Linked DNA regions of Coturnix japonica. The protein of the gene in region 1 interacts with the protein of each later gene in a pairwise test. Links are inferred from orthologs where the notes say so. Each region holds a gene or a part of one and is shown in the gene's direction. Other genes may lie near its edges. The genes, in order: HTT, PDK2, MTUS1, TACC1, HOXC4, KLF11 and OSTF1.

Region 1 (3,500 bases):
TCTCTCTTATTGTTTATGGACAAGTCCACTGCAACTGCTTTAGTGCCCTAAGCATCTGAATAAAATGTTTTTAAGCTGAGATAAATCTGAGCTATAGCATGCTTGTCTGAGAATAGGTAAAACTAAGTGTGCATATTTGAATGAAAGCTGTAGTTCTGTGAAATACTGGTGAAATATCAGTCAAATTAGTAAAATTAAAACACCTAATGTACACAGTCTGCTTTTAAAACTCCTATTTAACCCTACTGCCATCAGTGTTAGATACATAATGTTCCCTATTTGTGTCTTTCAACATTTAGCCTACAACTCTGAAGAAGACTTTACAGTGCTTAGAGGGGATACATCTCAGCCAGTCTGGAGCGGTCTTGACATTGTATGTTGATAAGCTTCTTTGTACTCCATTCCGTGTGCTTGCTCGCATGGTTGACACACTGGCTTGCCGTCGGGTAGAAATGCTTTTGGCTGCAACTTTACAGGTAAAGATAAATACATTTATCTGCAAATCAGTTTGGGTAGTGCTAGCAATAACAGTCAAATGTAAGTGTTTAAATTAAAGTTATTTCTGTGGAAAAATAAGGCTTTATATTATATATAGATATATGAGTGACTGCATTTCACTTTATCTGCATATGAATCTCATAATCTGTTCTAAGTACATATGTGTATTTTACTTGTTTTCTTGTGACTCCTATAGAACAGCATTACTCAGTTACCAGTTGAAGAACTGGATAGAATTCAGGAGTATCTTCAAAACAGTGGATTAGCAACAAGGTAATACCGGTACCTGTTAAAATATCAAGTTAAGATATTTTGTAGAAGCAATTATGATAGCTTTGAATTTTTTTTAAGCTAAGATAGCAAATCCTGTTAAGAGGTGAAATGAGTAAAGCATCATATAAGGTCCTTGCATGTTTTAACTCAAAAACAGTTGTGTTGGATGAGTTTAATTCTTAAATGCATTTTACAACTTCAGGAAAGCTAAAGGCTCAGAGATGTCAGACTCTTTCTACCCCAACCCATTAAAATATTTAACTTTTAAAAGTTACCTCAAATTAATTTTGGCAAAAATTACAAACTAAATTGCTGTGAAAACAACTTTATTTTCCTCAGATTTTGTCAGCTCCAGCTGCTGTTTTTTTCATTCACTGGTTTAATCTCCCTGTTGTTTATAAGTATAAACTGCTATTATAAAAAAGAACAAAGTGTTCAGTCCTTTCAAAAGCCTTATTCAATGATGGGAAGAGTAATTTAATTCTCCTGATGTCATTGCTATCTGAAATTCCTATCTATTGACTAACATAGCAAATAGAAGCGAGGTAAAGAACATGAAGCCTAAGAGCAGTAGATTGATAGCAAGGTGCTTTCACTTAAGAGATTTAATTTAAAAATATAATGGTAGTCAGAATCTCCAAATGACTTTTACAGTACCACTTTTGATAGCAGTACTGGAATCAGAAAAATACAAAATAGAAAACATTGATTGTAGTGACTTTTAAATCCACAAACAGAAATTCTTAAATATCTGTTTACTTCTATGCCATTTTGTTAAAGTGGATTCTTGTTTGGTATCTGTTAGAACGTAGTCATTTGCAGTCAAGTCTGTACGTTAAAATTGATTCTTATTCACTAAAAAGGTGTGCTACTTAAAGAAATGGAGCAGCTTGCATTTTATGCATAAGCATGTACAAGCTTAAAGTCTGAATCAAATCTTCATTATTGGTACTACAGAACTGAATTTTTTTGTTCTACTGGTAGCTGATGAATTTTGCAGTTTTATATCATGCGGATGAGCCAGCAAAAATTTTATGATCCTAGTTCTATTCTGTCCCAGTTATGAACATTAGTTCACTGGATGAGTTTCTTTTTTTAAATGCTTTATGAAACTAAGTTAGCCCTTTGCTGACACTTGTTTTTATTTTCAGACACCAAAGACTTTACTCACTCTTGGATAGATTTCGTCTTATGGTGGCACCGGACACAACTAGTCCTTCTCCTCTGGTTACCTCTCACCCACTAGATGGAGAAGACCAACCAGGTTTAGAGAATGTAATTCTAGATAAAGTAAGATGCTATTTAGAAATGCCTTGGCTCAAAAAGTATTCTTCCTATTACAGAATATTTGATAACAGCTTATTTCTAATATGTTCTTATAATTGTCAGTGGATCTCAAATAGTGATCAGTGAATGATTTCATGTATTAGCTGTTAGGCTAAAGATTAATAATTAGAATGTGCGTGCATATTTCTTATAGATATGGTGCCATGAAAAACTATCAGCTTTTTTTTTTTCTCTCCATAAAATTAGGGAAAAGATTTACAAGAAGGTTCAGACGTATGCTGTCATCTGTTTTCTTGATGTGTTTCCAGCAGTGATCATTTTTATTAATTTGTTGATTGAAAATAGCTTGTTGTCTCTTTTTGAAATTCTGTCTTTTATATAATTAGATACATTTATCTCAGAGCACTGATGGCCAAGAGGATTTTGAGGTCTTTGTTTAATTTTGTGAAAATATGTACTGAATTTATTTTCTTCAATTATTAAAGGACTGGTATATGTCACTAGTGAGGTCTCAGTGTTGCATCAAGTCTGACTCAGCGCTACTAGAAGGTGCAGAACTGTTAAACAGAATTCCTCCGCCTGACCTGAACTCGTTCATGAGCAGCAAGGTAACTTTTCTGTCTGATGGAAGAGCATCAGCTGAAGATGTTGTATTAAATTGTTTCTGATATTCTAGTGGGTAGTATTAATAGATTAGATTCTTAAATACAAGTATTTCAGATTTATGTAATACTAGTACTTCACCTGTTGGATTTTTGGATTTCATTAAGTTTGGGAAAATAAAATACTGAATGTTCTTTGGCTCTGTCTAGCGATGTTGCTAATAGTTTTCTAATCGTACAGATTGTGTTTATGGAGTTGAAGTGAAGTGGAAGTTCATGTATCTGCTTTTGATCATCTATACTAGGTCACTTCTCACATAGCTCTCATGACACAGATGATGAATCTGCAATGAATCTACAACTGGGTTTATTAAGAGCATAATTTGCTCAAATACTCTACAGTAAGTTTACTGTTGGCATGCAGAAATGATAGCAGGAAGCTATTTTAAAAATATTTTATACTTTCTCATCTTGAGGAGAAATGAGTAGAATTCAGATATAGATCCTGTGGAGTCAGTGCTGAGCTACACCTTTCAGACTTTTTAGAGTTTAAGATTCAATTTACTAGAGGTACTTTTGGAGGAAGCAAAATGTTAATTTAAGCTAAATCAAGACATATAGTTTTATTTTCGAGCTTATTTATTTCTACTAATTTTTCTTTAAAGAGAATAAAAATTCCTGTGATGTCTGTGAAATGGGTCATGGTATTGGTAGTTCGTTTTTGTTTGGACTGTGACTTGTCTGAATCTGCATACCAAATAACTGATAGAGCTTGCACTTTTCAACCCACCGTTAACTAATATTTCTGCTAAATTTAGTATTTTGGGCTGAATTGCTGTT
Region 2 (4,285 bases), on another chromosome or scaffold:
CCTCCGGCCCCGCTCTCACCCATTATCCCCCCCCCAACCCTCCATCCACCACCACCGCTTTATATTGACGTTCTTTCCTCTTGCCCCCCCCCCCGCAGTGTGACTTCTTCCAGCGGACCCGCTATTACCGGGTGATGCCCAAATACCACGCGTTCGGATCCGGCAGGAGCAGCGTTATCGCCCCCCGGCCCCAGCGCAAGAAACACTGGGTGGACGAGCTGGCAGCAGCCAGGACAAGTATTACTGACACCCCCCCCCCAACCCTGCACCGCCCCCTCCAGCCCCCACCCCGATATGGGGCTGTGGGGTGACTTTGCACAAGCACAGCAGCAGCATCGTTGCTCCATCCCTGTGCTCCTTGCACACCCCTTGTGCCTCTTGCACGCTTGGAATGGGGAGGGGTCCTCATGTGTTGCCCCCCCCCCGTTGTGTCCTCCTGAGTGCCTTCCTCCTGCTCCTGTGCTGCCGCTCCCCCCCCCCTTCTATGGTGGTCCACCGCCACTGTTGCACATGGGGACACACTCATTGCCACCCCCCCCCCCCCTCGATGCGCCCCCCAACCTTTGTCTGTGCTCTGGGTTTGGGGTGCCCCCCCCCCAGCTTTACTCGTGCCTTCCTCCTGCCCTCCTCATCCTGCACCTTCAGCCCTTGCTGGGGGGGGGTAGGTGCACATAGGTGCACAATGGAAGCTTGCCCCCCCCCCCCCTTCGCTCCTCAGCAGCTGCAGCCACTATGGGGGGGGCTTGGGGGCTTCACCCCCCCCCCTCCCCCATCCCTCACAGCTCTGGGGGTTAAATTATTCCATGTCTCTGTGCGTTCTCGTGTCAAGCCCCAGAGTGGGGTCGGTACTGGGGTTTGAGGGGGGGGGGAGGTGTCTATGAGCCCCCCGCCCCCCCTTCGGCCATGCTCACGCCTCTGCTGGGCTAATAAAGCCTCGCTCTGGGATTTCTAACCTCTCATCTGCCCCGTTGGTTTTGCTATATGGATGGAATAGGGGGAGTAGGGGGTAAAAAAGGAGGGGTGGGAAGGGCAAGGGGTGCCCAAAGGGGGGGGGGGGGGGGGTGATGGTACCGGGGGGGTGATCCCTGAAGGGAGAAGGATGCTGCAGTTGGCATGTGATAACAAGAGAGAGCGCCCCGTGGAGTGGAGGGGAATCATGCGGTGTGTGCGCGGACCGGGCGGCTTATACAGTCGGGAAAAAGGCGATGGGAGTCGCCAGGCCGAAGGGGTTAATGAGCGCTGGGCTTCCGGGCACGAAGGGGTTAATAAAAAGGGGCGGGGTTAAACGTCGGGGGGCGTGTCTAATATAGGGGCGGGTCCGACGGCAGAACGGACGCTGATGGTCCGGAAGGGCGGTGACTGATCAGGGCCGTTGTTATGCGGCCCGACGGGGACGCCGTGGGCTTTGAGGGGAGCAAGCGGGCGATCGGGGCGACGAGGGGTCGCGGGGGGGGGCTGGGGCGGCCATGAAGGGGACTGCTGAGGTGCCTGGGGAAGCTCGGGCGGCCCGTGGGGACCGGGTGCCACACGATACATCGAGCACTTCAGTAGTTCTCGCCATCGCGCTTTCATGAAGCAGTTCCTGGATTTCGGTCGAGTGAAGACCCCCAAGCTCTGCCCACGACCCCCCCCCCAGTAAGAGTCGCCGATGTCATATGTCCGTTATGTATGTCCGGTCCGTCTGTCCTGTCCCCTCTGCCCTGTAAACAGCTGCTCCGGGGTGGGGTGGACCGCATTTAAACGGCCCCCCCCCCCACTCGGAAAATGGACACGCCCCCCCCCCCAACCAGTAGGGGGGGTCCCATGTTGGACCCCCCCTCGCAGTGGCTGTCCATATATATACCCGTATTGCTATGGCTGCAGGCAGGGGGTCCAACCCTCTTCTATGCCATATGCCCCTCCCAGGTCCCTTCCCTGGGTCTAATTTGTCCCCCCCCCAGTCCCCGTTCTTGGGGTCTATGATCGCCCCCCCCCCCAGGTCCCCATTCCTTGGGGTCTATGTCGCCCCCCCATGGGTTGAACCCCACTCTGATGGCACCCATCGTTCCCATCCCCTATAATCAGGGGCACACTGGTTATACTGGGCTGTACTGGGCTGTGCTGGTCCCCTCCTACCCCCCCCCCCATCCCCAAGCCCTCAGTGCTCCCTGTACTATAAGGGACAGTGGGGGGGGTTCAGCCTGTTTCATGGCTGGCTCTGACCCCCATATCCCCCCCCCAGGCTCCAGCAATGCCTGTGAGAAGACCTCCTTTGCCTTCCTGCGGCAGGAGCTGCCCGTTCGCCTCTCCAACATCATGAAGGAGATCAACCTGCTGCCCGACCGAGTGCTGCACACCCCGTCCGTGCAGCTGGTGCAGAGCTGGTGAGTATGGGGACATCACCCCCCTGTCCCCTATAGGGGTCCGGTCTCATTGCTACCACCTATGTGCCCCCATAGGTCCCGCTAATGTCCCTTATAGGGGTCCAATCCCATTGCCACCACCTACTGTGTGCCCCCATGGGTCACAGTGCTGTCCCCTATAGGGGTCCGGTCCCATTGCTACCACCTATGTGCCCCCATGGGTCACAGTGCTGTCCCCTATAGGGGTCCGATCCCATTGCTACCACCTGTGTGCCCCCATAGGTCCCACTGCTGTCCCCTATAGGGGTCTGATCCTATTACCACCACCTGCTGTGTGCTCCCATAGGTCACAGTGCTGTCCCCTATAGGGATCCGGTCCCATTGCTACCACCTATGTGCTCCCATGGGTCACAGTGCTGCCCCCTATAGGGATCCAGTCCCATTGCTACCACCTACTGTGTGCCCCCATAGGTCACAGTGCTGTCCCCTATAGGGGTCCGACCATTGTCACTTACTAAACGCCCCTATGGGTCCCACCCCTGTCACCAGGTGCCCCCATGGATCCCATTGCTGTCCCTGATGGGGTCCAATCCTATTGCCACCACCTGCCTGGTGCCCCCCTGGGCCTACATTGATCCCACTGTGACTTCTGTCACTGCTGCCCCCCCCCCAGCAGGTCCATGGGGTGCTGGTGGGGGGGGTTGACCCAGGGACAGGACATAGGAATCCCATAGAGCAGCACCCATCTCTTACCCTGGGCTGACAATGGCTGCATGGGGACGTGCAGGGGGGTCCTCAACCAAAGGGTGCTGCCCCATTGTCCTGTCCCTGCTGTCCCCTATGGCTGGGGGGGCTGTGTGGTTGGGGGGGGGGGTGTTCCTTTAAGGTCGGTGCTGGCATCCTGGCCCCACTCCCAGCTGCCATGTGACGAGTTGTTTGTGTCCTCAGGTCTGTGCCAGCACTGCCAGTGTAATGGGGGGGGGCATGGGGGGACAGCAGGGCCTGGCAGTGCCCTTCTATCAATGCTTATGTATGGGGGGGTGGGCACATTGCTGGGGCTGTGGGGTGACCATCTCCTCCCCCAGGTACGTGCAGAGCCTGCTGGACATCATGGAGTTCCTGGATAAGGACCCTGAGGACCAGGCCACATTGGGGCAGTGAGTGTGGGGTGCCAGCGTTGTGACCCCCCCCAAACCCCCATAGCATCACCACAACCCCACTCTGGATTCTCTCCTATAGGATAACCCAGCCCAGATCCCAACCCAGCCACCCACACTGGCTGCCCTATGCTTCATATCACCCCCCCCCCCCTCCAGGTTCACCAACGCTTTGGTCACCATCCGTAACCGTCACAACGACGTGGTGCCCACCATGGCACAGGGTGTCATTGAGTACAAAGATGCTTATGGGGACGACCCGGTGTCCAACCAGAACATCCAATACTTCCTCGACCGCTTCTACCTGAGCCGTATCTCCATCCGCATGCTCATCAACCAGCACAGTGAGCATCCCTGTGTGCCCCCCCCCCTATATTGTGTGTCCCCCCCCCGGTGTCACCCCCACCAGCACTGGGCATCCCCCGTGTATCCCTATAATCCCCCAATGGTCCTGAGCATCCCATTCCCACCCTTGCTGTCCCCATTGGTTCTGGATGGCCCAGTCCTGCTCTGGGTAGCATCTCTTGTTTCCCCCAATGCCCCCCCCCCCCACAAGCCATTATGACCTGAGTGCCCCCACCTGGACACCCCCTATTTCCTGACCCCATAATCCCCCTACCCCAATGGTCCCTATTACTCCCAAGCATCCTGCTGCACCCCCCCCTTCCCCCAACCCCCATGTGCCCCCCCCCAGGTGTCCATACCCCCTTAGATGTCCACCCCCCCCAACCCCTATGTGTCCCCTACCCATGCCCCATCCCTATATCTTACCCCATATCCATCCCC
Region 3 (3,500 bases), about 18 Mb from region 1:
GCATAATGGGAGCAGATAAATAAGCTTGTGCTCTCTGTCCTGTAAATCCTAGTTATAATCAGCTTGCTTCTGACCATCTTTGTGGTGAACTGGTTATTGTAATTGGATAAACCTAATTAAATACAATGCTTCTGCTTTAGGCTTAAGTTTTAAGCCTGCCAAATGTCATGCTATAATGACATGCTTTAAAATAGTAAACAGTGATAAGAGGCAGATATTGCCAGAAACTGTAAATCACTGAAACAAACAAAAATTATATGACTACCTGACAAGCCAATGCTTTTTATGTCAGGCCCAGGATAAGCAATGAAATTATTCATTGTTCAATCACTTCAGTGATCTGGATGCTGGAAGTGTGCCTTCAGCACCTCCAGGAGCGTTAAGGCCAGAAGTTGGTGTTCTCTCTCTCCTTGGTGTTTGTGAAGCTCCACCTTGACTGATCTGTTTTGGGGTCTGCCCTTTTCAAGAAGGTTATTCGGAAACAGAACACTTGGGAACAGTGTTGGAGCACATGGGTTGTGATGAGAGGATGAGGGAATGAGGCTTATTTAGGTGAAAGGAAGAGTAGGGGGAGGTATTGTAACAATCTACAATTACTTGAACAAAGATGATGACACCAAACTCAGTAGTACCAGATAATGTAGCAGTAATAACAAATTATGGAGTGGGAGACCCAACGTTTTGGGAAGAATTATGAGGAAAAGTAGTACAGGTCCACATTGTCCAGGGCCATAGGATCTCCATTCCTGGAAGTTTCCAGGACTCATGGCCAGCTAAATTCGTCTTGGTGATGTCAGCCTACCATCAGAGCAGGCGTCCATAAGTCACTTTCAGCCAACTTTCCTGTAGCTGTTTTGTTTGCCACTGCTTAAGTGACTTAAGTAATACTATCTTAGTGCTAAGGTGAAGTCTTTCCTTTCTTAAACTTCTCCTAATAAGCTTTATTAAAATTATATTTTATTGCTTCAGTAGAGAGTTCTGCTAAAAACAAAGTTGAGTTTAAATGTAGCATTCCATTTTATAGAAAATACCTCTTTTTATATTTATTTGAGTAGTCTCGTGCATCTGGTAGTGTAAATATGTGATGTTAGGCATGTCTTTATTGCTGTCATGGCTGTACTTTTAAATCTGATGTAAGTCTCTTCTTCTAGGAGCCAAGGCCAGGTGTGCTTCTCTGAACCAATGCACGACAAAATCATCTGGGCCATTGCACTCAACAAGGAAAGTCAGTGAGGCTAGAGGCAGTCAGTTATTGGGTAAAGTTACATTTTCAATTATATTCTTGTATCTGTTCATCTTGAGAAAGAGGAGCTATGCTAAATAACTTGAGCAGTTGAGACTGTCAGTCCATTCTTTTCATGCATAGTTCACAGTATTAGAGATAGGCTCTACAAGATATTCTGTATATATTTATTTATCTGGACGTAAAAGACAATGTACTTCAAGTACACTGCCTGCTTCAAACTTGCATCTAGAGTAATATGTACTTAACTTTGCATTTCAGTGTCAAATACTTGCTTTATCTTTAGTATTTAATTGAAATTAGTCATTTTTAAAATTAGTTTGAATCAAAGAATAAATTTGACTCCTCAGACAAATTAAGTAATAAAAGATTTTCAATTTGGGAGTAAATATGTACTTGCAGCATTCAGGTCGAGGGAAAAAAGTACGGTTGTGGTACTAATCTTATTGATAATACCTACTATGGGGAAGAAGACAGCTGAATGTGATAGTTGTTGTAAACAGACCTTCTATAAACTTCTGCATGTAACTTTCGTGCTTAAACCTAGCAAAAAGTGTTTTCCTTAAATTGATATCCTTTAAAATAATGCAGCTCTTAATTCACTTTTCACCTAACACAAAAACAATACAGGAATTGTAGATTAACCCTCTCACCATTTTCATTTATATGTAACTTGATTAGGTACCTTTTTGTACCTGCTTTATGTAAATAAAGTTACTGGAGTATATAGCTGGAAAAAAACTATGATGCTGCTCATATGTGTAGTTACTTTTTGTTGCCTGTTTTTTATTCCATTTTGTTCTTTTGTTTAAGATAATAAATAAACAGTGCTACCCAGCTTAAATGAAGTATGGTAACTGAAATAGAAAAAACGTTTGATAGGAATTCATTTTCCAAATAATTTAACCTTTTTCATACCAAATCTTTCCTTTAAACATGCAATCAATCCTAAAGATGAAACTAAAACTACCTATATCATGAGGAAATTATGTACAAAGAGATACAAAAGTGCAACTCTCTCCTTTACTGACTTGAAGCATAATTCTGCTTTCTATTCTGTACATCATAGGTACTCCTGGAAAAAACAGACAGCAGAGTTTGTCGGTTTATGGTTCTGGTGAGTTCTCTGGAAGTATTTTTACGTACTTTGAAGTGGAACTTAAATTTGATTTACACATTATATTAGTATATTATATTTTTTCTTGGAAGAATAGTTTTGCAACGTAAATTCTGTAAACCATCGCAGATTCTGATTTCAGTTGATAGAAGGTGAAGTTTTGTCTACTTAATGTCTTCTGGTTACCCGGTTTTTAGAGTACGCAGTCTGTTCTGTCTGTCATTCTCTTTTTCCAGTGAAGCCTAAGAAGGTTTTAGCACTAACAACAGGAGGGGGAAAAAAATGTGGTAATGAAACTTAGATGTAGATTTTGCTGTTTAGCCTAGCTGAGGTAATTAATGATTACAGCTTATGTGTTGTGGCTTTAACATAAATAGTCATGCAGAATAACAGGTTTTTCTGGAAGGTTCGTGGTAGCTCCCCTATTAGTGTCAGCTGTCTGTGTTTCTGTCACTGGAGACTACACTTGAAGATGAAATTATCCAAACTTGTTAGTGCATGTGTCTGCTTGGATGGCAAGGGAGGAGTGGCAACTGATTAAGTGGCAGATGGTGTTCCAAAATCTGGTGGAGTTCATGGACTTCATCTTGTATTTGTTTTCAGTGGTCATGCCAGTCAGGGCACCTGGTGCTAGTTTCTCCCTGCTGGAAGAGAGAGAGAGGCCTTCAGATTGCTATTCACAGGAATTTCTAGGTCTTTTTCAAGAGAACATGCAGTCAAAATTAGTTTTCTGAGCATCATTGAGTACGTGCTAAATTAAAAGAAGCTTTTAATTACTGAAAAGCTTTTTTTGAAAGATAGTGAGGTTCACTGGGAGGGAAGCCCTGTGTCCCCTGTGAGTGAGTAGCAGATGTCTTTCTCAAAGACGTGCTGTAACTAATTAGGTGTTATGAATTTGAGCCTGGAACTGTGGAGTGAAACTATTCTGACCTGTCACTTGGGTACTGTGGTAGTATGTTTTTTACTAATTGCATGCATGTGAGTTGAATGTTTTGCCTTTTACTGTTTTGCTTGTCAAGTGTCTGACTAGCAATTGTGACCGAGTGCTTTGCTTGAGATCTCTCATTATTACAAGTCAGCTCTTTGCTCATATAACAAGACAAAGTGCTTATTCTGTTTGTTACTCTTACTGATATTTGC
Region 4 (4,284 bases), on another chromosome or scaffold:
AGGAGGGCTGCGGTGCCGGCAGTGCCATGGATGGTTCACCCAGCACTGCCTGTCCTGCTGTTTTCCTCTCCCTGCTCCGGGAAGACACGCCAGATATTACAAAACATCCTTTTTCCTTTTGCTCAGGGTGCGCCGAGGTCCCCTAACGACGACGCCTGGCCCTCCCCGCCCCGTCCATCCCCTTCCTTCCTCTGTGCTCCTTTTCCAGGCAGCAGCTTTCCGAGGAACTCCGGGGACAGGTGGCAGAGAGTGACGGTGCTGGGACGGATCTGTGCTGGAAAGGTAGGAAAAAGAAGGGAGCTGAGGGCTGAGTGCTTGGCAGAAGGATGGAGGGAGGAGGAAGCAGGGAACGAGGTGTCCCCGGGCAGCCTTGGTGCGGAGATGGTCACAGAATGATGGTCCCCAGCAGCCCCTTGTGGCAGCTCGCCCTGCTGCCCGCTCTCGTGGTGCTCCCACGTTCTCTGCATGCGCTCAGTGTTGTGGCTCTGTTTACGTTGCTAAGGAGGAGCTGTGTGAGCACCCTGGGATGCTGCGTGCCGGCGTGGGCACATCGGGCTTCGTGTTGCACGTCAAACTGGGTGATGAGTTGCTGCTGTGGGAGCCTCACTGATGCTCTCTGTGCTCTCAGACCTGAGAAAACGGCAGCAGGAGGAGGGTTTGGGCACAGAGTCCCTGCATCAGGGCTGCTGAAGTGGTAACCCACCAGTCAGGCAACTTACAGCCCAGTGCTGCAGCTCTGGGTGGGTTTGGGGCAGTGCTGTTTGGATGGAAGGCTCCATTGAAGTATTTAAACACAGCCATGTGACAGCCACAGCTTTGAGTCACCGTCCTCGGAAACCCCAATGGAATTCTGCCCTGGGGTGGCAGCGAGGGCTTGCAGTGCCTCCTTCCCAGGAACATGGAAATTTCCATGGGATTGGCCTAAAGCTGATTATTCCCATCTGCTGCCCCTCAGTCAGCAGCCAACCAACAGAGCCGAGCACACAGTGTGGGGCACATCACCCGCTACGGGGACAAGATGTGCTGTGCATCACGATGGGCCCACGGGGCCCTGGTGCCTTCCTGCAACCCAAGCACGCCAGCATCAGGCTGGTCAGGAGACTTTGTTTTCATCCAAGGAAGGTTTTCTTTATAGCTTTCTTTTTTTAGGAAGGTGAAATCTTGCAACGGTGTCAACACTTTTCTAGCTGAAAAATAGCACAACCCAAACCAGAGCACTAAGGGAAAAAAAGGAAAGGTTGAATATGTGAGTTTTTCTCAGGGCTCCGTGGGCGTTGGATGCTCAGGTTGTGGGTGCGACCTGACGGTGCTGTGCTGAGGCTGCGGGTCCAGCAGTGCTGCCCTGGGTTGTCAGCTTGGAGCGCGGCTTTGAGTGCCGAGGGTAGATCGGAAAAGCAGCTCGTGGCTGCACGGAAAGAAAAAGGAGTCAGACAGACAGGCAGGAGCCGTTCCCTCTCGGTACAAACTCGTGGGGCAGATTCCCATCGGCGCCGGGTCGGATGCCGCCGCTCCGGGTCCGCCTGCGGTGCGGTGCCGAGCAGAGCCGTGCCGTCCACTCCCCCGCGGAGGCGGGGACGCCGTCGGGGCCGGCACAGCGCAGCGGTAGCTCGGTCCGGCCCGGCCCGGTGCTGCCCCACACGACCCGGAGCTGCGGTCCCGCTATGGGGGCGGCTCAAAGCCAGAAACAGCGGGACGGCTCCGCCGAGCGCCGGTGAGTGCGGGACCGGGGGAGAGAGAGAACCAGACCGGGGCTGATCCCGGTGCTGGGGATGCCACTGCAGTGCTAAGGGGTAGAGTTTGGTTTGGAAACTGCAGAGCAGGAGGAAAGTGAGAATGGAGTGAGTGAGTGAAAAGCTTTCCTTTCCCTTCCCTCTTGTCTCCCTGCTTTCAGTGTTCCTGACAAAACAGGCTGTTTCCCGTTTGTTGTCAGCACACTGAGTTTCTCGGGCTGCAGCTCACCCCTGCATTGCATGGCATAAATCACAACGCGAGGAGCCAGGAGTGCAGTTAAGAAAACAAGGTGTGGGGTTTGGAGCTGGAAGCTGGGCTGTAACCGGGAGTGCTGTGAATTACCGACGGAGTTTGGGAGCTGGGAACAAAAGAAAAGCACGCTGAATTGTGATCAAAAGGCAAACCGGGGAGGCTTATCTTAAAATCAGCCCGAACACTTAATGGAACACAGGAATGTTTGCTCCCACTGAGCCGCCCCGTGGTGCAGAAATAACTGCTCTCGGGAGGTTTGCTGCTGTTCTGCTCAGCTGGAAGGCTCTGGGGGACCTGGAGGGTCCGCAGTGCTGCAGGTGAGCGGGGAGCACCTGCCCTGCTTTGCTTTGCTCCGGAGCTGTGCTGGGCTGTATGGAGCAGGTGCCCTCTGCTGCTCCTCTGAATGTTTGCAAACATTCCTCTGTGAACAGAGGGAAAACAACTGCAACAGGGAAAAACAGGAATGTTCTGTCCTCTGCTGCTCCGCAGCCCTGCCTGTTATTTCCTTGTATAGTTCTACTAAGTTAGAGGTGTTCCCAGGCAGAAAAACCCAAGGCATTGTTCCAGGGCTGCACTGGAGCAGCGCTGGGATGCTGCAGGGCAGCTGTGCTCCGTGCATGGACAGCAATGTGGAGATGCTGCCCGTGTTTCACAATATCTCCAAGTCTGAACTAAAATCCAGCAGCCTGACAACCCCCTGATAAGAGCATTCTTGCCACATAGCAGGGATATTTTTAGCAAAGGAGTGGATAGGGTGGATAGGACAAAGCCAGGAGGTGAAGGAAGGTGCTCGTGTTCATACAGCATCGGTCAGAAATCACAAGTGAAACTCACACATTTCAGGGCTGTTTCTATTGAATTGTTTTGCATGAGCTCATGTCCACACGACTGGGATCAGTGAGATGAAGCCCTGCACATTGTTTGCAAAGCGCAGGACAAGCAGCGTGCTCCTTTTCGCATCGCTCCTTTTGAAAGCAGCCATAAATGCTTGCACTCATTGGCCTGACAGCTGCGTGGTGGGGAAGGACAGCTGGAGCTGGGGGGCTGCTGGTGCTGTCAGGCTCATATGTGACAGTTGTGTCCTTCACTGCTATTTTTACACAGCTATTTTGGTGGAATGTGGAACGATGGGAACTGTCACAGGGATGGAAACCTGGGGCTGCTGCACCCTGGTTGCTCTTTTTCCCTCCCTCTGCGTTTTCCCAGGGCCCTTTCTGACTTAGGCAGAGTTCTCCTTGGCTGGTCTCCCAGCCCAGGTAGGTGAGCTGCAGATGAGAGTCATCAGCATTGATCTCTTCAGCATCACTGCACAGGTCAGGGAACATATTACAAAACAACATCCTCCCTAGCGTTTGCAGGACAGTCCTTGCTGGGCTATACAAAGCTTTGGGTAGTTTTCCTCATTCCCAAAGTTGGCATTTTCACAAGGTAATGGCCTGTGCTGAGCCCAGGTGGGGTGACAGCAGTGACACAGGCTGTGTGCTCAGTCTGCCCTTCATTCTGCTTGGAGCTGCTGGCAGCTCTGTTTGGAGCAGGTCAGCATCCCCTGCAGAGATGCATCTGCAGGCTGTGCCCGAGCCATAGTGTGACTGATGCAGTCAGGTTATCTCCTCAGCAAATGATTTGCAGCCAGTGCTGCTGCCAGGCTGGGTTGTGCGCCAAGCTGGAAAATGCCACTGGAGGCGATTTCAGTATTGCTCATTGCAGACAGCAGGTGGAAGCAGGCTCTGCTCGTTAGCTGCTCCCAATGAGCATTCATCTCACTGACCCCACTCCTGCTCCTTCCTCTGAGGCTGCTGGGAGTGGGGCCCGCTCTGTGTGTTGGTGCACAATGGAAGGATGCTGCTGATTTCCTCCATTGGATGTTGCTGATTTCCTCCCACATCCCCCGTACAACAAGTGGGTGCTGCTGCAGCAGCAGCATCTGTGCCATGGCTGATGCAGATCCCTGTGGCAGAGGCATCGTGCTCCCACTGCTGCTCCTCTGCCCTTTGCATTTCAGTTTGCTCCGTGGCATCCCTGCAGCTGTGAGCCGCTCTATGGCGCAGCAGTGCTGTCACTCCAGTGGAGTCTTTTGGGTCAGCAGCGATCTGTGAAGTGACTGATGGGAAGGGGAGAGGGAGGAGGAGGAGCTGAGGCTGCAGCCAGCTCTGCTGCAATGTGCTGCGTGCTGCCGTTCACAGGCTGAAGAGGCTCGTTATGTAAAATTCATCCGCAGAAATCAGCCCTGCTGCTTCAGATGGGGGGGAAGTGGCTGCTTGTTTCTGCTCGGCACAAAAGCAGGCAGGAGGATGTTGAGGT
Region 5 (3,532 bases), on another chromosome or scaffold:
GGGGGGGTAGGGGGGTGATGGGGGGAGGGGGAGGGGTGATAATAATCGGAATAAAATCCCATTATGACTTTTCATCTCCAGCAGAAGCAGCAGCCACCGCAAACACAACTCTCAGCCAAGAGCACAAAGAGCCCCGACCATTTCGCGGTGACTGATTTATGGCGTTTTACAACCCCATAAAAAGCTGTAACAACCAGCCAAAAGCCTTCGACACCGCTGGCACATTTAGTCTAATAAATAAAACATAAACAGTTAACTTTATGTGTCACTTTTATTGTTATCAAGTAAAATATGGCAATGCCCTGCGAGCGATGATTTTCAGCTATAATTGTTATCAAGCGCGAGGAGGGAATACCCCACCTCCTTCCTCTGCCCCTCTCTTTAGTGAGAACCATAGATAAACAGCTCTAATTGGGGGAGCTCCGACCCTCCCCAAATGTTCACATCCTCTCGTTGCTCCCTAACCTGCCCGGGGTTGACGCCTGGGAGCCATTTTTAAAGCATCTCTTATGGTTTTATCTCCCCCCCCCCCACTATCTCCCAACCAAACCCCCTCCCTCATCTTCCGACTCCTTCACCCTCGATTTAAAAGAGACCCCAAAGAGCTTCTCCCCTATGGAGGGCGAGCAGGTGAGCTCCCATCACGAGGGCAAAGCGGCTCCGGGCTGCTCACACGCGTGTGTTGCACACGAGTGGGTGTGGGGCTGTTCCCCCCCCATACACACGCATAGAGCCCCGTGTGTTCTCTATGGGCAAAGCAGTGCCCCCCGCATTGCCCCCCCCCCACGACACCCCACTCTGCTCCTAATCTGGGGAGCACGATGGGGTCTCCTGTTTTGTAATGGGGGTCCAGATAGGGGTTGGGGGTTGGGGGGAGTTGGGGGCTTCTCGTGTCCCTGAGGGTCTCTGGATCACAACGGAGACCCCAAACCCGGTGAGGTCCACACTCCCGCTCCTCCATCCCAGATCATTCGTGTACACAGCCCCCCCCCCCAAAAAAAAAGAGGAATAGGTGCTGGTGGGGGTTAAGCCGTTATACAGCTGAATGGAGGTGGATGGGATGTGGGGGTGGGGATAAACCCCCCCACCCTCAATGTCCCCATCGTGCCCTGTCCTCTCCTCGGAATGGAGGTGATGGACAGAGAGAGGGGGATGGGGGTGAAGGGGGTGGGGGCTGCATGACACACAAGTCGGGGGGCTGCGAGGTGGGATGGGGAGGCAGCTCCCTCACCCCAATGGGGGTCCCGTTGTTCATCCCTCCCCTCTATGGGGGAACACTCCGCTGCCCCCACCCCCCACCTCAATGGGGTCCTCCATTGTTCCCACACCCCACCCCCTCCCAACGGGGACCCCCAACGGGGCCACCCCGCATCTCCCCCCCTCAATAGGTCGCCCCTTCTCCCCGAGTGTCCCCTTATCCAACCTCCCCCCCCCCCCCCCTTCCCCCCCAATTCTCCCTCCCCCCAATTTAGGTGCATTTTGCAAAAGCTTTTGGTTCCTTATCCGGGGACTGGGCTGCCGGGTGTGATTGGCCGGGGGAGTCACATGGTGAAAGTAACTTTACGGGGTCGCCAGCTAGTAGGAGGGCTTTATGGAGCAGAAAAACGACAAAGCGAGAAAAATTATTTTCCACTCCAGAAATTAATGACCATGAGTTCGTATATGGTGGACTCTAACTACATCGATCCGAAATTTCCTCCATGCGAGGAATATTCGCAAAATAATTACATCCCAGATCACAGTCCGGAATATTATAACCGGACAAGGGAGTCAAGCTATCAACATCACCACCCGGAGCTGTACCCACTACCACGACCCTCCTCCTACCCCGACCGCCAGTTCAGCTGCGGTAGTATCCAACAAGCTCCGGGCAACCCGGCCGCGCACCAAAGGGGACACGGGCAAACTACAGGAGGCCAACAACACCTCTCAGAGAAAGCACAGCAGCTCTGCGAGCAGGCTGCTCTATCCACCACCACCACAACTACTCCTTCCCCAGCCCCTCCAGCCTGCAACCAGCCAAACCCCGAGCATCCTAACAGCACAGCATCCAAACAACCCATAGTGTATCCCTGGATGAAAAAAATCCACGTCAGTACTGGTATGCAACTTTTATTTTCCTCTTTCTGTCTTCCTCTCTCTCTCTCAGCTCTCGTATTTTCACACCGTGATCTCTCCCTCCCTCTCTCCCCCCCCTCTCTCCATCCTCTCCCCCCCCCCCTTCCTTCCTTCTCTCTCTCTCTTTTTTTATATCCTTCCCTTCCATGAGAGGCTTTGGGTTAGCACAATTGAACTGGATTTACGACTCCGAATGGGTAATTACACCCACCATAAATTTTATAGCCGAGCTACTGTGGGCAGCCTCAGCCATGTGGTTCGTTCTGTTATGTATGTGTGAAACTCCGAAAGCTTTGTAAGGGGTGCATAAATAATTCAGTCTTTTGAGCCAGGGAAACCCCTTCCTATTAGAATAGAAACTCTCGAGCTGCCCAAAGTTCTTTATTACCTTTTTTAGCCCATTACTTTCTTCTCCCGGCTCCTCCGCTCTCCTCTCTTCGCAATTCCCCCTTTCCATTCACGCTAATTTCTTCTTTATTTCCTTGCTTGTTTCTATTTACCACCCCCCCCCTTCTCTCCTCCTCCCCCCTCTATTTTCCCCTTTTTTTACCCCCCCCTTTCCCCTCCTTTCCAGTGAATCCCAATTACAATGGAGGAGAACCCAAGCGTTCCCGGACAGCCTACACGAGGCAGCAGGTTTTAGAGCTGGAAAAGGAGTTTCACTATAACAGGTACCTGACCCGAAGGAGACGCATCGAAATCGCCCATTCCCTTTGCCTTTCGGAACGGCAGATCAAAATCTGGTTTCAAAACCGAAGGATGAAATGGAAAAAAGACCATCGGCTTCCAAATACGAAGGTGAGAGCGGGTAGCGCTGCCCCCGGAGCCCCCGCAGCCCCCGCTCCATCCGAAGAGCTGCCCCCACCGCGGGACCCGGAGGATATCACCAGGTTATAGACCCCCCCCCCCCTTTAACCCCCACCCCCCTTCTCCCCTCTTTCAGCCCATGGGCTGTAGCTGCATGTCGGGTAGCATGAAACCAGGTGTCGGTACCTGCGGGTTTCTTTTTTTAAGGCCTTTTTCAGGGTTTTATTTATTTTTTCAAGCCGGGGAAGGTTGGGAGGTGGGGGGGGTGAAAGGGAAGGAAGAGGTTCCATTGAGATGAATTGAATTGAAGGATTTTGGGGGGGGGTAATAGCGACGGTAAAAGGAATTAAAATAGGGCCGATGTCGGTGCGTTTTCCCCTCTGCGTTACGGGCTCACAATGAGAGGCGAAATCCTTTTGTAGGAAAGCGAAGGTTGGGAATTAGGGGGGGGGGGGAAGAGGAAAAATAAGGTTAAAAAATAACAAATAATCGCTGTAAAAATCGAGGTAAAACGAAAGGAAACCCGTAACACAGAGAGGAAAACAGAGGGGGAAGGAGGGAGAGAAATAGCTGAGAAATCGGGGTAAAAAAAGGGATAATAAAAGAG
Region 6 (4,296 bases), on another chromosome or scaffold:
TGCTGCCGATGCTTTAATTAACAAGGCCTCCCCAGTGCACCAGCCGTGTGCGGCTGACTGCAGTGATGTGGTGCCCAGCAAGGCACAGCTTCCAGCCCGACCTGTTTCTCCACAGACCCACTTACCAAAGAGTTGCGAGGATGACTTGCAAACAAGAGCTACCCCAGTGACACCGGTCCCTGTGTCGAGCCCCCAGGTCCTCTGTCAAATGATCCCTTTGAGCGGACAGAGCGGTGTGATTAATGCCTATGTCAAACCTTCAGCTCCAACCATCTCGGCTCCCATGAAACCTATTTTACCGCAGACAGCTCCGCTTTCTCAGCCCGTGCTCGTGGGATCTTCTGTGCCTCAGGGGACCGTCATGTTGGTTCTTCCACAGACTGCTGTCGCACCGACGCCGCAGTGCCCGCAAACAGTAATGACTGTTGGGAACACCAAGCTCCTGCCCCTCGCTCCTGCCCCCGTGTTCATCGCTTCTGGTCAAAGCTGCGCCCCCCAGATGGACTTTTCGAGACGGAGGAATTACGTTTGCATCTTCCCCGGGTGCAAGAAAACCTATTTCAAGAGCTCCCACCTCAAAGCCCACCTTCGTACCCACACTGGTGTGTAACGTGGGGTGAGCTGTCGTTGGGGTGCTCAAGGGTGCGTGGCAGCGGGTGGGAAAGGAAAGGGGCAGGTGGTCAGGGATCTTGTGCTCATCTGGGAGAGGAGCAGAATGCTCATTCTCCACGGGCAAGCAAAACAAAACAGACTTTGTTCTGAGACCTCAGCCGACCCCGTAGCGTTGGTTGAGTTTCACATGCTTTAGTTGGAGCAAAGCTTTGCCCTCTGTGTGCATGTGTTTAGATTGGAGTGGAACTCTGCCAGCTGGACTGGATTGCAGAGAATTGTGCAAGTCTTTATTTTGAGCGTGGAGGGCTCTGGTGTGAGCTATCCACAGTGCAGGTAGTTGTTCTTAGTTTGCATGTGAATGAAAGAAAAGGAACATTCCAATACGACCAGTACCACTACGATTAGAATTCCTAGAGTTTTGGCCAGGCTAAATAGGTGTGTGTTAAGATTTTGGGCCACAGTGTTAGGAAGTCGAGCTCCTGCAGGGATGTAACTAGTTTTACGTTAGGTAACTGTAAGTTAGTTATAATCACTGTGATTTGTTCCATAACATCTGGTTAGCATAGAGGCAGTGTAAATGTGCTCTATCTGTTCTCTTTTCAACTCTCAGATCCCGTTAAATCAAAACTAAAGGCTGAGTTCTTGGCAGGGGCTGTTTCTGATGTTGAGGAACGAGCACAGCAGGTGATTGATAAAGAAGAGCTCATCTAAATGTCTTCATTTGTTTTCCCTTTGCTTATTTCCGCCACCCTCTGTGGTTCCATGGCAGGATGTGCACCAATTTGCCAGCTTGTCTGTACAGTTCCTATGAGAACAGAGCTTAAGCTCTGTATGAAGCTGATAATCCTTGTAAACTGGAGCTCAGAGGCAGAATGGTGGTTCTGCTTCTGGTCTGTGGCAGCAGACCTCTCCCTTGGCACGTACTGCTGCTGACCCACCAGGGAAGTTGTGTCTGCTATGATGTTAAGATGAGCACCCGTGGCTGGGGAAGCACGCGGTCCCATCACTTGCCATCCTGCTGTGCAGCATCAGTGTGCAGAGCAGCAGCAACTTGCTTTTCCTGCTTCATCCCACTCACTGAGCAGCTATGTGGGCATCGTGCACACCGAGCCTCGCTTGCCATCTGCAGTAAGAACGCAGCTGCTGTGCTGCATCTTTTCTGCTGGACTTTTTGTTTGACTCCAAAGAGTTTCCCAGATTGATGGTAAAGAGTAGATGTTTATCTTGTTTTTCTTGAGGTCTATGGGGGCTGCAGTCAGCAGATGACATTGTTTAGGACGGGTGTGATGTTAAGCAGTCATCCAGCACGAGAAACTGCTGCTGAAAGCCTTCCTGGCTGCTCTCCTTCCTTGGCATCCAGAGCTCCTGTAGGAGTCTGGGTCTCTGGGCACGTGGGCTGTCTGATGTGTTGCATGGGTGTGCAGGTCACTTGAGCAGGAAGGGATGGAGGGAGTGCTGCAGGGAGCTTGAAGTCCAGCTTTTCTTTTTACCCACAGCATTTGCTCATGATGTGTAGTGCTCATAGAGCTGTGGCCACGTAGGAAGGATGGTCTCAGGGATCAGGTTTTGGTGAAGTTGCTTTTCTTTAAACAAAAGGACACAGCTCTGTGGTAAGACACAGCTTAATGGGAGCTCTCTTCCTTTCACATTCCACAGGAGAAAAGCCCTTCAGCTGCAGCTGGGAAGGCTGTGACAAGAAGTTTGCCCGCTCGGACGAACTGTCGCGGCACCGCAGAACTCACACGGGAGAGAAGAAGTTTGCCTGTCCCGTGTGCGAGCGGCGCTTCATGCGCAGCGACCACCTGACCAAGCACACGCGGCGCCACATGGCCACCAAGAAGGTCCCCAGCTGGCAGACGGAGCTGGGCAAACTGAACAGAATCGCCACGACCGAGAAACCGAAAGGCAGCGGCGCTCTGAGTATGCTCATCCCTGTGCCATCCGTCTGCCAGGGCAGCGGGACAAAGCACCTCCTCTAAACTTACTATGAGTCGCACAGAGCTCTGCTGGCTACAACAGGACTGACAGCACGGCCCTCTTCACCCCCTCAGCGTGTTTGTTTGTACATACTTGGGTTCCCTTCATTGTAGTTAATAATGCTAGGGGAGAAATGGATGCTGTGTCCTCATCCTTTTGTTTGTGTGTTGGATGTTTGGGCGGATGCAATCACCAGCACTTCAGGAAGGCAGGACTCTTTTGAAATGATTTTGGCAATAGGTTTAAACAAGTCAATAGGTTTAAACAAGTCAACGCGCATTGCTTGCTGTTAATATTTGGATGGACAGTGCAACAGGGTGATTTTTAATTTTTGATACTAGTGTTTTCTATACCAAATATATTTTGTATTTATTCCTTTGGATCTTTGTATGCAGGCTGACTTGCCCTGCGTTAGTAGAGTTGTGCAGGATGAAACCCGGGGCTTTGGGAGCTGCTTTCCTGTAAGCCCAACCAAATGCATTCGGTGCATTGTGTGAGCGTGTAATGCTCAGAAATGCGGTGCTGGGGATTTCACGCTTCTGGATTCTGGTCCTGCAGTAGATGGGTGCTGTTAGATCCTCCTTGTGCAGCTGCCGTTGGATGTTGGATAGTTTGAGATAACAGCGAGCTCAAAACCAACCCAACAAAACCACCCTAGAATGACTTTCAGAAATGAAGTGTTGGAATCCTCAGCACTGCATCAGTTCATGCTTATTGCAAGTGGAAGCTGTTGTGGCTACTAGGAAAGCTTGACACACTGCGTGTTCCTGGGTCCCCACTCTGCCCAAGCAAAGCACTGGGGAGCCAGGCTGCTCTGCTGGATGTAGAAGCACAGATGCTGTTCAGCAGCTTTGACACTAAAAACGACGCTTTACTTTCAGCCCCACAAAATCAGAGTATTAAAGTCTACTGAAAGGTAGCAAAAATGGCAGGATAAGGTGTGAGCAATTAGCTGGGTCCGTGTTTGCATTTTGTTTTAAATACAGGAGAAATAGAACATGAGGTTTACGCATTGTGGATGCTGATGCACCTCATAGAAAATTATTCCAGGCTTTTGATGACCCGCATCAAAGCACCAGGACAAATACTGGTCATGTCTTAAGAAACAGCCACCTTTGTCAGCTCGATGATGCTCTTCACGTGGCCTTACACTTCACAGTACTTTGTATCAAATCACCCTTTTCTATTAAACGAGATGCTCTCCCTCTTGGCTGCATTTTCTTTTCACACCACGTGTAAATGTGACTGAGGAGTGAGATGGGTGGCTGCAGAGCTCTGTGCTGTGTGCTGGCTCAGCAGCCCTTGTACAGGTGGGTATGTGTGTGCTGTGAGGTGCCAGCTGCTGTTTTGCTGGCCAAATCTCACTTGTTATGAAGTGTTTCTATGGTGTTCACCCTCCGGGACTCATATCTTCAACCTCTCCTATATTGAACTTATTTGGGTGCTGGACAGGGACTTGTTATTTTTCACCTGGATGTGCAAAATACAGGTCTGTAGGGATGCACTGATCTCCTGCATGGCTTTGTTCTAAACACAGGCCTTGTTTCTCAGTGTGGGCAGTGTGCTGTTCTCATTTAGACAGACTTGCTGATCTCAGCACTCCCCTGAAATCAGCAGGGGCCTTTTGCAGTTGAAAGCTGAATCTGTCATTCTTTTTTTACACTTAGCTCTGTAGTTATAATTAATGGTAACAAGTTTTTGGCCCGC
Region 7 (3,998 bases), on another chromosome or scaffold:
TGCTTGTTTTCTCTTCAGTTCTTCCTTTACACTGTCAAAAACAGAGTCAGAGAAAACTCTCAAATCAGAAAAAATAACAGCACTTATTAAGACATTCCAGCCTTATGTAGTATTATATACTTGTTTTCTGTCTTTTTTTCCCCCATAAGCCTACTGTCAGAACCACAACTGCTTGTTCAAATGCTAACAAAACCCTCCAACACAGATGCCGCATTACAGATTTCTATGCGTTTTACCTAGGTCAGTATTTGATGACTTGAGACAGACCTTGAGAGATTCAATTCTACCACTGCTGATAAGCACAGAAGTACCCGGATAAAAAACACAACCCCAGCTCAATCATTAACAGTATCCAAATGTCTGGGTAAACAGGTGCTGAGGTGGAAAGACAAACAAACAAAAAGCCAATTAAAATAAAAAACAAATACCAGTGTTGTGCTGAGGGAAGAAAAATGTTTCAAAAATCCAGTAACTCCCAAATTCCACCATTCACTGTATGTTTATGGCATTGGCTGTCTGTGTGGAGCCAGAAAACAGACTACCTGCTCTCAGGATATGATGAAACATGATCTGCAAAAACCCCACTGCTGTTTTCCAACCAAGCTGTCACTGAGGTTTGTGTTCTGGGGGATTAGCCTTTGTCCCACAAAAACTCTGCAGCACAACCCAAATAACATCTGGGCGCACACACTGAGCTTTGGACTCAACTTACGTCACTGGCTATACAAAACTTTATCCCAACCAACCCACCAACTCTGCCTCCCTCAGAACACAACGTAGAACCCAAACTGCGAGGGCAAACTGGCCTCCAGCGTTGCAGCACACAACTCCAAAGTTAACTCGGCCTCTTTAAAGGGCCGAGTGAAGTTCCACGACAGTTCCCTCACAGAGCTGCCTCGGGCTGAGCATTAAACGTGCGACGACAGCATCCAAACGAGCCACCCGCCCCAGGAGCTCCCACACGGGAGGAGCGGACCCGCGGGACCCACACACCCAAACAAAGCCCACCCCCTACCGCCACTAGCCGTGCTCCGGCTGCCCAGCCGTCACCCGCCCTGCGGTGCCAGCTCCGCCCCCTCCGACACAGCGCGGTCCGATTGGCCGCCCTCCCTTCCCCGTGATCTTCCCACCGAGGAAAGGAGAGAGAGGCGAGGATTGGCTGTAGGGTGTTTCGGGCTGCTGCAGCGATTGCCGCTGCCGCTGTGGGGCGCTGCGCAGGGTACCGGCGGCCGCCCGTCCGCCCCCTCCCTTCCTACCCGCAGCTGTCGCCGCGCACCGTGCCCAGCAGCCCGGAGCGGCTCGCCCCGCTCTGCCCCACCGCCCCGAGGCACTTGCGCAGCTCGTCTGGTCCCGCCGCAGCCATGTCCAAGCCACCGCCCAAGCCCGCCAAGCCAGGTAAGGGAGGGTCCCCAAGACTAGTCCCCCCCTCCACCTTCCCCTCTTCTCCCTGTCAGCGCGGGGCCACCGTGGGCGCGGGCGGCCTTTGCTGGCTGACACGTGGACAGCGGGAGAGCGGGGCTCGGGCTGTCAGAACCGGCGGCCCCCGCCTCTCCCCGCCCCGCCGCCATTAACGTCGGCGCCGCCCGAGCGCTGCGGCGCGGGCTGCGGGTCTGTCCTCGGGCACACCGCAAGGATCTTCGTTTCTCAAAACTCATAGCGAATCGCAGGGTCTTGTAAAAACACTGCTGACCGGGTTTAGGAGCACTCAGTGCGTCATCATCCACCTTCTGCTGATCTGTTAAAGCCTCAGAACTTCTTCCAAGTAACAGTTTCCTCTGGTATCTCACCCACTGAGCATCTTTCAGAGTTGACCTGAAATAGGAAAAAGGCAACGATAGGAGCCCCGACGCTGCAGTTGCCCTCTGGGAAGGTGAATGAAGTGCTGTGTGGGCTTCCGGGAGATGAGAAGGGTGTGGTGCTGCTTTTAGCAGCCAGATATGCGGGAAGAAGCTTTTTTTTCCAGTCCTCCGATTTGCAAAATGATTGGTTAGGTTTAGGGTAAGAATCTTGCAAATTTCAAGGATTTATACTGTTCAGCCTTGCGGAGTTATCAGGCAGGCTAGATGTTCTATGCCTAATGTTGGGCATCCCCAGCCTGGGCAGGCTGTGGTAAGATGCAGGTTGCTGCCAGACAGACAGGCTCGCTGTGCCCTCCCTGTCACTTTGTCCTTCAGTGAGGTGGCACGGCAGTCTGCTGGTGCTCTGGCACTGCAGGGTTCTGCTCATGTTCAGGTTATTTTCATGTTTTAATGAACTTGCTGATCTGGTTTACCACATGATCACTTGACACAGCAAAAGGAAATGGGTGGAAATAAATGGCTGAAGAAGAAAGAGGAAGAGGATAAGACTTTCTTAGTAGTTGCTCATAGGGGTCACGAAAGTCATTTTGTGGAGTCCCTTTTTTGAAGAAGGAATGTCTTTACAGATGCTATTGTGGAATATTTTTTTTCCCAAGTCATTTTCAGGAAGAGGCAGCCTTCAGACTTCCTCCAAAATATTTTGTCCGTCTGCCCTTATAAAACCAGTTATGCTTTTAACACTGAATTTCATTCGGGTTGTAGACATTAAAGCGTACTGAGTTAAAGACATAAACGTGGAGTCTGTGTGTGCTGAAACTAGAGTAGCACAATGCTCTATTTGTTACTAACTTATATGCTTCACGTGGGGAAACGTCTTCTTGGTTCATTTGCTGAAGTTATGTTATTTTTTCTACACTGACTGTTGTCTGGTATTCAGTCTGTAAACCGTCCTGGCTTTTTCACAAAGCAGCAATCTGCTTGCCATGCCGCAATTCAAGCAGGTAGAAGGAAAAATAAGACTTTGGCTGCTGTAGTCCTTTAAGAAATGTTCGGGAAGAAAACGTACAAACTACATGGAGATGGAAGGAGATAGAGTTGATGGCAGGGAACTGTGTTTAGTGTTATATTCATTTCTGAAACAACGAGCGCATTCCTCACTCTACTGGTGAAGATTACAGTTACATATGAATGCCCAGACAGTGCCTTGAAAATGTGCAAAACAGGATGTGCTAAGGGAAAAATGTTAAGTATAGCAGTGAATGGGGTTTTCTTCAGTACATGCAGGATTTTTATTTGATAGAAGGCTCTTTCATTGTAATAATCTGGCTGCGTGGGCAGTGCATTGTGCTTCATCTATGAAGGAGAAGGCTTAGATATCAATAGATTCTAGAAAATCATCTAATAATGTTTGTCAGCTCTCAAGCCTGTATTCTGGGGCCTGTAGTTAGCCCTTGAGTAAGAAGGCTGTGAGTGTTTTTCATGGCTTTGGGAAATTTTTAATTTCTAGTGTTCCAAGACTTTCCTTTGAAACAAGCTTCTCAATTTGCTTTTCTGCAAGAGCTTTTTGTACTGGTTTGAAAGCTTTTTCTTCTTTCCCTATTCAAACTTGCCATTGGTGATATGGAAGAGTGAAGTGAGAACTGAAAATAATTGAAGCTTTCTTCTAAATCAGCATAATGCAAGAGTAGGATTTCCCCTCCATCCTTCAAAAGCTCTATTGATATCTCAAACAACATCGTTCTTTTTAGAGTTCATTAACCTCCTAAACATTCTGTGTCTTATGTTAATTCTAATTACAAAAGTTACTCAAGTCTTTTGAACCTGACAAGCTGCATTGACTCCTGTTAGTTGTCTCCTTGAATAATGGTGGTTATGCATTTTTGGCTAAGGCCTTATAAAGTGTGCAGTAAGAGCTCTTAGGAATCTGGAAATTCTCTTTTTTAAGAAAACAAAAAAAAAAAAAAACTTTGTTACTTTAATGTTCTCCAGATAAAGTAAGGTTTGTTGATCTCGGGCTAAGGTCCACAAAACAGCCAAGTTTTAGAGAGAAGGACCAGTCTTTGAAAGAAATTACAGTTTTAAATGATCCCAGTTGAGAGGAAGTGAGGAAGGAGGAAATAGAGTATGTAGCATAAAGGGACGCTACCTTAAAGTACGTCTGTTGCCTTTGCAGTTTTCTAAGTTAAGAGAAAAATTCTC

Evidence for each region.
Region 2: the proteins of HTT (region 1) and PDK2 interact in binary tests that used the Homo sapiens proteins (3 or more experiments, as listed by UniProt). The link is inferred for Coturnix japonica from reciprocal best matches to the Homo sapiens genes HTT and PDK2.
Region 3: the proteins of HTT (region 1) and MTUS1 interact in binary tests that used the Homo sapiens proteins (3 or more experiments, as listed by UniProt). The link is inferred for Coturnix japonica from reciprocal best matches to the Homo sapiens genes HTT and MTUS1.
Region 4: the proteins of HTT (region 1) and TACC1 interact in binary tests that used the Homo sapiens proteins (3 or more experiments, as listed by UniProt). The link is inferred for Coturnix japonica from reciprocal best matches to the Homo sapiens genes HTT and TACC1.
Region 5: the proteins of HTT (region 1) and HOXC4 interact in binary tests that used the Homo sapiens proteins (3 or more experiments, as listed by UniProt). The link is inferred for Coturnix japonica from reciprocal best matches to the Homo sapiens genes HTT and HOXC4.
Region 6: the proteins of HTT (region 1) and KLF11 interact in binary tests that used the Homo sapiens proteins (3 or more experiments, as listed by UniProt). The link is inferred for Coturnix japonica from reciprocal best matches to the Homo sapiens genes HTT and KLF11.
Region 7: the proteins of HTT (region 1) and OSTF1 interact in binary tests that used the Homo sapiens proteins (3 or more experiments, as listed by UniProt). The link is inferred for Coturnix japonica from reciprocal best matches to the Homo sapiens genes HTT and OSTF1.

Annotation. Positions count from the first base shown.
Region 1 is NC_029519.1:74,584,380-74,587,879, reverse strand, and holds part of HTT (huntingtin), read left to right. Parts: intron 1-299; coding exon 300-476; intron 477-694; coding exon 695-771; intron 772-1,922; coding exon 1,923-2,061; intron 2,062-2,543; coding exon 2,544-2,666; intron 2,667-3,500.
Region 2 is NC_029542.1:2,597,587-2,601,871, reverse strand, and holds the start of PDK2 (pyruvate dehydrogenase kinase, isozyme 2), read left to right. Parts: upstream 1-1,485; 5' UTR 1,486-1,570; coding exon 1,571-1,592; intron 1,593-2,221; coding exon 2,222-2,363; intron 2,364-3,427; coding exon 3,428-3,499; intron 3,500-3,658; coding exon 3,659-3,843; intron 3,844-4,285. UniProt on the Homo sapiens protein: Kinase that plays a key role in the regulation of glucose and fatty acid metabolism and homeostasis via phosphorylation of the pyruvate dehydrogenase subunits PDHA1 and PDHA2.
Region 3 is NC_029519.1:56,734,800-56,738,299, forward strand, and holds part of MTUS1 (microtubule-associated tumor suppressor 1), read left to right. Parts: intron 1-1,151; coding exon 1,152-1,256; intron 1,257-2,312; coding exon 2,313-2,360; intron 2,361-3,500. UniProt on the Homo sapiens protein: Cooperates with AGTR2 to inhibit ERK2 activation and cell proliferation. May be required for AGTR2 cell surface expression. Together with PTPN6, induces UBE2V2 expression upon angiotensin-II stimulation.
Region 4 is NC_029537.1:3,754,999-3,759,282, forward strand, and holds the start of TACC1 (transforming acidic coiled-coil-containing protein 1), read left to right. Parts: upstream 1-1,484; 5' UTR 1,485-1,499; coding exon 1,500-1,711; intron 1,712-4,284. UniProt on the Homo sapiens protein: Involved in transcription regulation induced by nuclear receptors, including in T3 thyroid hormone and all-trans retinoic acid pathways. Might promote the nuclear localization of the receptors.
Region 5 is NW_015439867.1:81,566-85,097, reverse strand, and holds HOXC4 (homeobox protein Hox-C4), read left to right. Parts: upstream 1-1,452; 5' UTR 1,453-1,545; coding exon 1,546-2,101; intron 2,102-2,692; coding exon 2,693-3,015; 3' UTR 3,016-3,032; downstream 3,033-3,532. UniProt on the Homo sapiens protein: Sequence-specific transcription factor which is part of a developmental regulatory system that provides cells with specific positional identities on the anterior-posterior axis.
Region 6 is NC_029518.1:88,047,091-88,051,386, forward strand, and holds the end of KLF11 (Krueppel-like factor 11), read left to right. Parts: coding exon 1-602; intron 603-2,268; coding exon 2,269-2,591; 3' UTR 2,592-3,796; downstream 3,797-4,296. UniProt on the Homo sapiens protein: Transcription factor. Activates the epsilon- and gamma-globin gene promoters and, to a much lower degree, the beta-globin gene and represses promoters containing SP1-like binding inhibiting cell growth.
Region 7 is NC_029547.1:33,132,675-33,136,672, forward strand, and holds the start of OSTF1 (osteoclast-stimulating factor 1), read left to right. Parts: upstream 1-1,198; 5' UTR 1,199-1,361; coding exon 1,362-1,395; intron 1,396-1,690; exon of another isoform or gene 1,691-1,782; intron 1,783-1,787; coding exon of another isoform or gene 1,788-1,798; exon of another isoform or gene 1,799-1,879; intron 1,880-3,998. Other genes in the region: NMRK1 (nicotinamide riboside kinase 1), read right to left, coding at 1-31, 1,788-1,798.